Linked DNA regions of Arabidopsis thaliana. The protein of the gene in region 3 interacts with the protein of the main gene of each other region in a pairwise test. Each region holds a gene or a part of one and is shown on either strand. Other genes may lie near its edges.

The links.
Region 1: the proteins of AT3G15420 (region 3) and AT3G19550 interact in a two-hybrid assay, tested with the Arabidopsis thaliana proteins (one large-scale study listed by BioGRID).
Region 2: the proteins of AT3G15420 (region 3) and AT3G49160 interact in a two-hybrid assay, tested with the Arabidopsis thaliana proteins (one large-scale study listed by BioGRID).

Annotation. Positions count from the first base shown.
Region 1 is NC_003074.8:6,786,602-6,790,454, forward strand, and holds AT3G19550 (glutamate racemase), read right to left. Parts: upstream 1,824-3,853; 5' UTR 1,565-1,823; coding exon 1,521-1,564; intron 1,330-1,520; coding exon of another isoform or gene 1,324-1,329; intron 1,150-1,323; coding exon 861-1,149; 3' UTR 526-860; downstream 1-525. Other genes in the region: AT3G19552 (uncharacterized protein), read left to right, coding at 873-1,091, 1,324-1,329.
Region 2 is NC_003074.8:18,221,269-18,226,459, reverse strand, and holds AT3G49160 (pyruvate kinase family protein), read left to right. Parts: upstream 1-1,554; 5' UTR 1,555-1,730; intron 1,731-2,026; 5' UTR 2,027-2,044; coding exon 2,045-2,454; intron 2,455-2,526; coding exon 2,527-4,131; intron 4,132-4,210; coding exon 4,211-4,328; 3' UTR 4,329-4,582; downstream 4,583-5,191. Other genes in the region: AT3G49155 (F-box/LRR protein), read right to left, coding at 4,583-4,706, 4,855-5,126.
Region 3 is NC_003074.8:5,207,075-5,210,460, forward strand, and holds AT3G15420 (Transcription factor TFIIIC, tau55-related protein), read right to left. Parts: upstream 1,436-3,386; 5' UTR 1,216-1,435; coding exon 1,132-1,215; intron 1,057-1,131; coding exon 1,006-1,056; intron 926-1,005; coding exon 874-925; intron 767-873; coding exon 630-766; 3' UTR 501-629; downstream 1-500. Other genes in the region: AT3G15410 (Leucine-rich repeat (LRR) family protein), read left to right, coding at 1-42, 130-205; AT3G15430 (Regulator of chromosome condensation (RCC1) family protein), read left to right, coding at 2,334-2,672, 2,800-3,009, 3,095-3,205, 3,291-3,386.

The DNA.
Region 1 (3,853 bases), 1.6 Mb from region 3:
TTCAAACTTCTTACGTAGCTGGGATTTAATTACGATTTCAAAACTATATAATTCATATATAGATTTCAAAACTGTAAAAAAGAGAGTGAAAGAGTCTGGCCATACTTACCATATCAATCTCTCAAGAAAACACTAATACAGCTAATTAAAACAAGTACATCTAGACCAATCTTTTAACACTGTTTCGTAGGATCTAGAACAAAGCAGTTAATAGATTCAGCAAGATTCGAAACAATATTACAGTTTTCATCAAATTTCATAAACCAAAGTAATAGAGAGCAGCCAGTATTTGGTAGCAATAAAAAAGCAGAGGAATTTGGGATTTTTTTACTTCAAAATATAAGCTGCTTTAAACAATTTTGATATATTTATCAACTTTTTTTTTTTTTGATATATTCCAATATTACCTTCTTATTTTACTCCACTTGTCCCACAGACAAAAATGTACTTTTATCGTTTTTTTTTGGTAAATCACCTTATAGATTTGTTAATGGTTTTCTTTTTACCATGCATGCAGTTGAAATACGAGATCACATCTAAGAAAAAATAATATTATTTTTACATTAGTTATTGGTTAAATTCTTTTCACATTAGTCGCTGTGTAAATTACCTCGCACACACACAAGACCATAATCACAAGTGTGAAGTCACAACGAATATCTATTGAGTTTGAGCCTCTTCATCCATCATATGAAAACGATCACAATGAAATGTTGTTGTAAACTTGTACGTATCCATTCCTCATTTCCTTGAGATTATTTAATATAGTTACATGTAGTATATAGTGTCCCCTTATGACGATTTCATTTCTCAATGAAACAATCATAAGATAAGCAATACCATATTAATTTTGTTTATAATTAATAAGGAAGATGATGAAGATCAGGATCAGGTTTATCAACACCGTCAACGTTCCTAAGCCAAAACGTCATGTCGAAGGAGGCAGCACCATTAGGGACATCTTCCATCACCGACTCTTGTCCCGGCGGAAAGAATATTCCGGTGCGTGGGTGTGGGACCCAGCTCTCCTCTTCGCCGCTAAATTTGAGATTATGGTCGGAAATATCTTCAAAGTAGTCGACGATCATCGGGTTTGATTTTGCAGCTTTGCTGCTTATCCCTGCTCGCCCTTGAAATTGCTTCCAACTCCTAAATCATCATTAATTATCACAAAATTACATTTACTTCTTTTTAAATTTGTTACACATTTTATAGCTTGTTATAGTGTGTATCAAAATTTTAGAAAAAATCTTTGGTAAGAAACTTGTTTTTTTTTTAACAACTGAATTGTAAGAAATTATTTTATGAATTTATTTTAGCTAGATTTGACAAAATGATAACTTTTTTTTTGGTAAAGTTAAAATTTCCAAAATAAAATATATGAAGAGAAAATTATATCTATTAAGCAATTAACTTGATGATTTATGTGTATGTGGGTACTGTCCACCTATGTTTTGTGGCTAATAGCATTTGATTAATGAAAATAAAAGAAGAATGATGAGAAAAGATATGGTTTTGACCTTAACAGCAGCTTTGGTGCTTTGGCGATCCCAGTTCTTCCCATCAACTGTGTATAAGCCTACGAAACTCAAATTGTTTCTAAATACTTTATTATGTTAATATGGAATCAGAGTATTTATATATTGATATTAGTACGAGTATATTTCTATCAATCTATAACTTGATCTTGTGTTCTGACATCTCTTTGGTCTATTCTATATATAAACTTCAGAAACTGTACGGGTAGAGAATCTTGAGAGTGGAGGAATAAGAGAAGAGGATAGTAATTTAAAAGTTATTCATCAGTTGTTCCTTGTTTTTTTGTTTGGTTAGCTTAAAAGTTGTTACTTGTAGTTTGAAAGAGTTTATAACGTGATCAATGTATTAAGAGATTCAACATAATTAGGAGAGTGGAATATTATGGAGGTATTTATTTTTAATGTAAATTTCAACATGTTTCTGTTTGAATTTTATATGATGTTTCGTCTATGGCATTTGTGAATAGTTTAGACTCGTTTATAAAAAAAAAGAATTTTGGTGTTAAAATATAAAGAAAAAAGTTAAAGAGTTTTGACTGCAAAAAAGTCTTCAAGAATATCAAAACAAAGTACAAAAGTGTTATTGTTTATTTAAATAAATTAATGTCGATTAATGAGTGCCATTGGTTCTAAAGAAGTTCCGAATTTAATCCGATTATGATACCGGATGGTGATTATATTGGAAGAAGTATATATGTTTCAACATCACTTGTATAGTTGTAGATGTTAATGCTTCTACAAAGAAAATCAAAGCTAGGTAAGAGATAAAAGAAACAAACCAGTACTTCAAAACAGTTAGGAAACTCTGATCATAATCAACAAAGTTTTAGTAGTACATGCATGAGGTTTATGCTATTTTCTTAAAGCTTTTTGATCTCCGACATTAAGAAACACTGAGCGGAGTTAATAAGTAATCAACTCAAAAAAATATGCATATCCTACAAGGTAAAACACAAAATCGCAAGTACAAATTAACTTGAAGGAGCTAAAACACCAATTTGCCAATTATACAGTGTAAAGATTAAGGACATTATGCCACAGTTGCCACTTCAAGGGCGTTATATATGCTATAGACAATATTTCGTGTTTGTCATTGCTACTTTCTTTACCAAAAGTTTGTGTTAACATAAACTATTTGAGTTTACATTACATATTAACATATACATTTTACTATTTATAAAATGTCGTTTCAGAAATGTCTTAAAATGCTGTTCATAAAATGTTTTAGTGTCGTGGTGGTTCCTTTTGTTTTGTTTTTTTGCTTATTTACGTTCCAAAAGTTTCACCATGGAACTTTATTACAATTTTGTGAACTGTACATACGTATGTATATGTGTATAAATAACTAAAATTTAGAGTACTTATTACTTAATTTGGTTACAACTTTTTTAATAGGAATCTTAGAATATATTCCGTAATGCACATTGTGCAGCTTCATAAGGAAAAATGCGAAATCCAATGGAAGAAATTAGTTTTGAAAAAAGGTGAAGCTGTTTTACGACAGACAAATTCAATTCAACTAATCCTTTCTTTTGTATATTTTAGTAAAAAGTTGCGAACAAACACTCAACATTGATCTTAATTAGTTATATATGCTACATACAATTGGTTGTTACATCTTATAACCAATCTTTATCAAAGATACCCACCTTCTGAAAAACATGCATTTTGTGGGGCTTACAAAGTTTTAAGAAACTATTCTATCCTAATACGTTACAATGACATTTTAGTAGTTATTCTAATCCAACGTATCATCGACCCAAATCCCTCCGGACTTTGAACAATTTTGAGAGCTATATTACTTATCACACCCAACAAAATATGAAGGAATAGTGGAAGGCAAATATACAGTATATAGTTTTGCAAGAAAAATCAAAACTACAAAAGTTCTAATCCGAAACTATAGAAAGAAACGTTAATTAGATGCCTTTGTTATTATTGGTGTTAGAACCTCTCATCTCAAGTTCTCAACCTCAGGTGCGAATCTTTTCAAACTTTTTTTTTGTTTTTCCTTATCATCGCTTCCTCTCGATGCGACATAAATTTAGAATTATGCTTTCAATTTATAACCTCTCAAGGGCAAAGTCTAGCTTTAACTAAAACCAAAAAAAAAAAAAAAAAAAATGGTTCAAGAAAGCTAAAGAAACGAAAAAGCATAAATGATTTATCATATGATTTTTATGTTACGCTTATCATAAAACCTATAAAAATATAGTCTTAACATTGTTTTTATCTCTCAAGACAATTTCCTCCCAAAAGAGCTAGCATAAGGACACATATTTTTGTAAAGAGACTCTACAAGAACGTCAAGATAT
Region 2 (5,191 bases), about 13 Mb from region 3:
CTCAGGTAATAAATATATCTAAGCTCAAAATTTTAGCTAGTATCGTACACCTATTTATGAATGCACTAAAAAATATCAACCATTCTATTTGAGATAAATAATCACATTTGGTTTTATTTCGTTTGTAACAAACAGGATGAGTCTGAATATCCTATGATTCCACCTTTGCCGTCATACGGAGATGCAAGGTTTACTGGTTTAGTATACGGAAGTAACCTAACCGATGTTGTTATCACCGGTAAGCACAACAAAACTTAAATCATTAAAATGGTTTGATGGATATATATATATGAGATTGAATCAAAATTATATATTTAGTTTATAAGATCAAATTTGTTGTTAGGTAACAAAAGAACGACTAATGGACAAGGGAAGTCATGGTGGTTGAAGTATCGAAGTGGCGGTTTCAAGTCGATATCAAGACCTTTGTTGATCGAAATCATCTTCTCCGAAAACTGAAGAGGTGACACTAATCAACACACAATCCGCTATCCGAATCAAAACCGCTATAGGACGTGGCGGTTACATCAAAGACATTTTCGCTAGGAGATTTACGATGAAGACGATGAAATACGTTTTCTGGATGACCGGTTCGTATAAGCTGCATCCCGTAGGCGGGTTTGATCCCAAGGCGTTGCCGGAGATTAGCAATATCCATTACCGTGACATGACCGCAGAAAACGTTACAATTTCGGCAAAGCTAGAAAGGATCAAGAATGGTCCATTTACGGGTTTATGCATGTCGAGTGTGACTATAGCTTTGTCGCCGGACCCGAAGAAGCTGCAGTGGAACTGCACGGATGTCTCCGGAGTTACTAGTAGGGTTACACCGGAGCCGTGCAGTTTGTTACCGGATAAGAGAACTACAATGGACTCAGACTGTGATTTTCCCACGGATAAGATTCCTATTGAGAGTGTTGTGTTGAACAAATGTTATGCTTAGAAATGTGTTTGTAACTTTGTACCGATTTATAGGTTTCATTATTCCCGTAACTAAAAGATTGAATGGTTTATGTTCATTCTTCAGTTTACAAATCCGCTAATAATTTTCACAAACTTTCTAAAAAACATCCAATAAATGAATCATAGTTTCAATAAAATGTAATTTAGAAATAATGTGTCAAATTTTACAAAATCTAATTAAGCAAACTTAGCCATTCTTATTTTTTTGTTCTTACATGGTTAAAAGTTATACATATATTTGAAATTTGAAATAGTCAGTTAAGTGTTTCATATATTCATAAACGACTTTGTCTAATTATAAAACTCTTTTACAATAGGAGCTACTTTCCCAAACTCTTTTAAAATTTACCAAACAATTTCCATTGTTGGAATAGATAAACCAAATTAATCAGTTTTCACGGAATTGGTTTGGTTAAACCGCATGGACCGGTCTTTTTTTTTCTATCTTTGGGTCTCTTGTCTGAATAGGTTTAGAAAAACAAAGCGACGTCGTTTTATAATGGGGACCTTTCAGCCTCATCCGTCCGTGTTACTAGATTCCCCGAGAAGATGAATCTGACACGCGCTCGCCACACTCCCTTTTTATCCTTAACCACAACTTTTTTTATTTCATTAAGAAAATTCTTCATCATTCTTTCTTCTGCTTCTTCTTCTTCTTCTTCGTTGAAAAATCTGTCTTCTCTTCTTCTTCTTCTTCTTCTTCTTCTTCTTCTCCTCAAGACGAGAGCGAAGACATTATCTGAACAAAGCGCTTCTCCATAACAAAGGTATTTCTCATGTTCTTGTCCTCTAGGGAATGAGTTTCGGTTGATTTTGATTCCTTCCAGATATTTTCTCAATTCCAGTAGCCTAGAAAACTTATTTGCTTAGATATGATTTGTTTCCTGGATTTTGATTTGTGGTAGGCTTGTTTTTGTCCTTTTCACGAACTTGGAATTTGTTTGTTTTTTTGTTTTCTTTCTTTGCGTTATACATGTTTCGTTTCTTGTCTTTGTGGTTATGCCTAGGTTTTAACCTCTGTGTCAATCTATAACAGTTTCTCCTTTTTCGTTTTGATTCTCAGGTGATTCAATTAGTCGATATGGTAGGACTTGATTCAAGCCACTTGTTGAGAGACAAGATCCTTTGCTTCTCCAGCAGGTCTCACATAAACAACCAACATAAGAAGACAAGTTATGCATTATCACTTAATCACATGAAACTTCCTATTCAGAGAACCTTAGCTTTTGCCTTAGCTCGCGGGAAAGGCGAAGCTGAAAGTTTCAGCAGATTGGAAGCCACCTTTGGTGATAATACCTCCACAGAATGTACCTGGAGTTTTGACTTTCCAGATTCTAAAGATGCTATGTCTCATCTCAAGTCAGAAGCAGACCTCTCTGGAAGCAATGGGGCCAATAATGTGGCTAGTGTTATCGAAAAACTGAATGCTCTTCGGTCACATCTCTTAGCAGCAGAGAAATGGAATGCTTCTCAACTACACTTATGTGACAGGTTTGTTAACCATTTTATATATAGTTTGCATTACTTATTTTTCGCCTAATTTCCTAGTACCGTCTGTTGCAGTAAGTATCTGGAATGTGCAACAAACTTAGTTCATTATATGGCTTTGAGATCTCTGGACATTGAGCAGCTCAACAGTCATCTAGCTTCTCTTGGTCTGTCAAGTTTAGACAACAACAATCTGGATGTTCTCGCCCACCTTAACGCCTCTATTAATCTTTTGATGAACGATCAAAACGCTGTGACGGAGTCTTGGACTAATGTATATCCCAAGGGAAAAAGTACTAAGAAGAATGATAAAGGGAGGGTATTATCATACAAAGAGTCATTACTTGGTAAACTTCGTGAGGGAAGAAGTACTCATATCATGGTAACTATTGGTGAAGAAGCAACTTTGAGTGAAACATTTATAACTGATATTCTTAAAGCTGGAACATCTGTTATCCGTATAAACTGTGCACATGGAGATCCAAGTATTTGGGGTGAGATCATCAAAAGAGTAAGAAGAACTTCTCAGATGTTAGAGATGCCATGTCGCGTTCATATGGATTTAGCAGGACCAAAACTCAGAACTGGTACCTTAAAACCTGGTCCGTGTGTGATGAAAATTTCACCAAAGAAAGATGCTTATGGAAATGTTGTTTCTCCTGCTTTGGTATGGCTCTGCCTCACAGGAACAGAACCTCCTGCTCATGTTTCCCCTGATGCTACTATATCGGTCCAAGGCCAAGATTTTCTTGCTGGTCTCCAAATTGGTGATTCTATAAGACTATGTGACGCTAGAGGGAGAAAGAGGAGACTTAAAATCTCAAAAGAGTTTCATGTTTTCAACAGTACCGGGTTTGTGGCTGAATGTTTCGACACTGCTTACATAGAAAGTGGAACTGAGTTAAGTGTTAAGGGAAAGAAAGGGAGACGTTTAGTTGGACGAGTAGTAGATGTTCCTCCCAAAGAATCTTTTGTAAGGCTAAAAGTTGGAGATTTACTAGTCATAACCCGAGAAGGATCGCTCGATGAACCATCTGTAACTGTTCCAGGAGCTCATAGGTTAACTTGTCCTTCCGGTTATTTGTTTGATTCAGTCAAGCCTGGTGAAACCATTGGTTTTGATGATGGAAAAATATGGGGAGTCATAAAAGGAACAAGTCCTTCAGAGGTAATTGTCTCCATAACTCATGCACGTCCAAAAGGTACAAAACTAGGATCAGAGAAGTCCATTAACATACCGCAGAGCGATATCCATTTCAAAGGCTTAACATCAAAAGATATTAAAGATCTTGATTATGTAGCTTCACATGCTGATATGGTTGGTATTTCTTTCATACGTGATGTCCATGATATAACCGTTCTTCGACAAGAGTTGAAGAAAAGAAAACTAGATGATCTTGGTATTGTTTTAAAGATTGAAACGAAAAGTGGATTCAAGAATTTGTCTTTGATTCTTTTAGAAGCAATGAAGTGTTCGAATCCTTTAGGAATTATGATAGCTAGAGGTGATCTTGCAGTGGAATGTGGATGGGAGAGATTGGCTAATATGCAGGAGGAGATTATAGCTATTTGTAAAGCTGCTCGTGTACCGGTGATTATGGCAACTCAGGTTCTTGAATCACTTGTGAAATCCGGAGTTCCAACTAGAGCTGAGATTACTGATGCTGCAAATGCAAAAAGGTAAAATATTTTGCATTAGACATGATCTTTGTAAGATTTGCAGTTTCTTTGTCTAATTTTGCATTTTGAAAATATGCAGGGCGAGCTGTGTGATGTTAAACAAAGGCAAGAATATCGTTGAAGCTGTTTCAATGTTGGATACTATTCTTCATACCAAGCTTATCTACAAGAAATCGGACTCTGAAAATCTCCATTGATCTGCTTGTAGTTTGCTTGGCCATTTATATTCGTATTGTTGTTTTATAAGAAAGAGATTTTAGGGGAAATGTACAATGTATTTAGGATATGATGAATGAATAGAGATCATAACATGGAAGGATTAAGCTTGTTGATTCTAGTTCTCCCATTATGATTCCGATTGATGATGGTGTTTCAAACAGTGAACAGTATAAATAGAAAGTAATGCCAATCACAAACAAGAACGGTGTTTTGGTTGGTTGAGACACAAAACTCATGTGTTTACGAAAGAACATTGTTTTATTACCATCCTCTTTGAAAACCATCTTTCGCATTCAATCATGAGAGGGATTGTCACTCCTCGAATTAGAAAGGTGGTAAAAACAATGGAAGCCCACCTGCAATCACAGAACATACAGAGATGATTGATATAAGACATGGTCATTTTTGGGTGTAAAAAAACACAAAAAAGTGATCCAACAATAACTCCAAGGATGACATGATTTAAAAGTTGACCAACACAAAAAAAAGAAGAAGATTTCTTACCAGTTTAAGCCTGTGAGTGAATGCACATTATGAACTATCTGCTGAACAAAATCTAATTGGATGGAGGAATCGATAGCAGCATCGGCAACTTCGATGACTGTATCTTGCTGCACTAAATCAGTAAGAGTTTCAGCAACATGATTCACATCGCCACTCTCATCTGAGCCTGAAATATGTGAAGTCGACATAGGCCGATAGGTAGAGACACCAAAAGGAGAGCATAGTGGGAAATGTGAAGGGCTTCTCATCATATGCTGCTGAGAGAGAATCATCGAACTGCTGAAGGATCTCTGATGAAGAAAAGAGCCGTAATGTGGCTTCTCTTCATGGACATCAT
Region 3 (3,386 bases):
TACACTTGAGGTTCTACGACTTGACGGGAACCCATTAAGAAGGTATAAATGATAAACACTGATACATTAATAAACACAAGAACTTTCCAGATCGATTGATTTTCTTTTTCACCAACGTTCTTAAAACAGTATCAGGAGGCCAATTCTAGAAAGAGGAACAAAAGCTGTGTTGAACTACCTGAAAGACAGACTTCCAGATCAGTAGCTTCTACAACATTAACATCAACACCTATGTTGTTGTTTGTAAGATTTGTGTGAACACCAGATTGATTTTATTGATGAGAAATGCGTGTGTCCCTTGTCTAAGATATTTTCACTTTTGTTGGTGTGTAATCCAGTACGTCTGGTTCTGTGATATGTACTACAAGTCTATAAACTCCAATGGCCTCAACAGGAGAATTTTTTTGTAACAAATTGGTTTCTTCTTTTTGTTTCTGCATTTTTCATTGTCGAATGCTAATTTATAACTTAAACTTTAAGAATCTTTTGAAGTTTGGCAATAAGCAAGTCCAAAAAAATCTTTTAACATGAAATGAGAATTATCATTCCTAATCATTTAAAAAAATTTGTAACCTTTCTACACATACCCATAACTCAGCTCTCCAATGACTTAAACAAGGGAAAAACTATTACAAATTGTTTGTTTTTGTTTCTCCATCATCATTGTCTAATGCTGCTAATCTAAACTTAAGAATCTTGTGGAGTTTTGCAACAGGTTCAATTATCTTCTTATGTGGCATCTGGTTTTCACTTGCTGAAACTTCTTCTGCAAAACCAAAATAAAAGTAAAGAAACCTCAAAAATCAGCTTCAGTAAAAACATCAAGGGACAAAAGAAGTACGTGAACCAATAAAGATGAAAAGTGAAACTAACCCTTTTCAGAGAAAGCAAGGCATGTACCAATCGTTTCAATATATTCTCCAACCTGAGAGATCATCAAATCTAACACGATTAAGAATGGTTTAAGCAAAAGAGTTACTCAAACTCAAGTTATAGAAAACTCACCAGCTTGATTTTGCCATCAATGGTCAACACCGGATTCAAAGTATCCAAACCCTGAGAAATAATAAACAAAAGTCAAAACAAAACCAATGCAAAGAGTTTAACTAAAGAATATGGATTTGAACTAACTGATAAAGTATAAGGAGCATCTGATGGAATCTCAATGTGCCTTGAAACTTCATCAAGATCAATCATAACAAATTCCTCCTCCATCTATCTATCTCTATCTTTTCCGTTGAATCTTTCGAGAAAATACGAAAACCTTAAGTGATGGAAACTGAAGAACAAGCCTGATTAAGAGTAAGAGGAAGATGAAGATTCGTGTCAATCGATTCTCTGCTTCTTCTTCTTCTTCTTCGTCTGTCTAAAAATTGCTCTGTTACGAGAGACTCACTTTTGGGCCCATTACTATAACCTAAAGCCCAAAATATGGAGGGCCGATTCTTCATCTTCTCACTTCTTTTTCTTCCACGTGTCAAGCACGGAAACTACATCCAATCTCAGACCGTAAAACTAAACCGGAGGATTTTGTGAAGCCGGAGAACCGGAAATAGTTATGCAAATAACCAAGTTACCAATTTAATTTGAACATAAACCAAGCAAAAGTAGTGGTGAAGCAGAAAACACATAAAACTCTCAGCTAAAGCAATAAAACAGAGTACATTCAAGAGCCGACGACTAAGTAAGCCTCAAAAGATTCTGCAAACAGAGAGGAACAATCGCCACGAAAGAAGCTTAAGAGGCAAGATATTGAATTTTCCCCTAATTTTCTATTCGTCCTCACACGTCTTTCACCATTCTCTTATATAAAAAAGTTCTTTTTAGACTTTTTGGTTTCATTTGTTTAGTGGGCAACCAAAAAGTCAAGACCTTTTGCTTTCCAGGTAAGGATCTATCACCACTAACCTCTTTTCTTCTTCTCGATTCCTCGTTCCCTATTTTCGATTTCAATTGTACGTTTTTCAATCGAAAGTTTTCTCCTTTTTGAGGGATTTGTTTAGTTTGATTGATTGTGGATTGTTCTGTTCTTCGTTGCAGTTCGAAGAATCTGGCGTGTTCAGGTGGATTGATTCTTGCGATCTGACCCTTCTCATGATTAGTTTCCGATCTTCGAATAGACCAACTGCGAGATTCTCATCTATAACTCCGTTTTCCTATTCGATTTCTTATCTCTTTCTACCATCCAACGTGTTCTTCATACATTACTTCAATTGCTCTCGATTTCGCCTCAAAATCTGATCCTCTAGTAGCTTGAAGCAACCCAAAGTCTCGTCCTTTACGTTCAATTAGGTCATTTTGAAACCCTGTTCTTAGAATTAGGAAGGGAAGAAATGGCTGATCGAAACTGTTTGATTTCGTTCGAGGATCTTCCTTCTCATTTGATCTTGGAGGTGTTGACCTCTGGGAGGCTTAGTGCGGTTGATCTACTTAGCTTGGAATTGACTTCTAAGGTTTTCGGAGGGAGCCATGGATTCTATCCTTTGAAATTCAGATCATTAGCTGATTATGCGGCGTCTCAGCTTTGCTCTATGCACCCTGTCTACGTGGGAATGGGTTTGACTACACAGAAAGAGCTCTTTGCCAATTGTGAGGGAAACTGGAAGCGGCTTTTTAGTTTCTTGCAGTCAGTTGAGCAATCCTCAGATATGGTTGAAACCTCTCAAGGCAAAGTATGCTTTCTGTCATTTCATATAGTCAGTAGTTTTAGGTAGTTCAGTGAAGTTGCTATGGAGAAAGTTGATTCTTGGTTAATTTGGTTTAGAAGTCTCAGATGCATTTCTTTTATTTTTTCTGCAGATGCAAATTGCAACAGGAAAGTATCACACTTTGCTAATCAACAACTCAAAGGTTTATTCTTGTGGTGTAAGTTTGTCCGGTGTTCTTGCTCATGGCTCTGAAACTACTCAGTGTGTAGCATTTACACCTATAGAGTTTCCGTTCCCTGCTCAAGTGGCTCAAGTCTCAGCCACACAGAACCATTCTGCTTTCGTATTGCAATCTGGACAGGTTGGTAGCTTCTGTTTCACTTAAAACCTATCCTGTGAGTATATTGTCGTTTGCCATAATCACTCATATTTGAAATCCGGCACAGGTTCTCACTTGTGGGGATAATTCATCGCATTGCTGTGGTCATTTAGATACTAGCCGTCCAATATTTAGGCCTAAGCTTGTTGAGGCTTTGAAGGGGACTCCTTGTAAGCAGGTAGAATTGATACCAACCCTATCTAGACCTATTGATTTTCTAAATTGGTTCTATCAAACATTGACAAACTTATCTTCTATACCAGGTGGCTGCTGGGCTTCACTTTACTGTGTTTCTATCAAGGGAAGGGCATGCATATACTTGTGGATCAAATACACATGGGCAGCTTGGTCATGGAGAT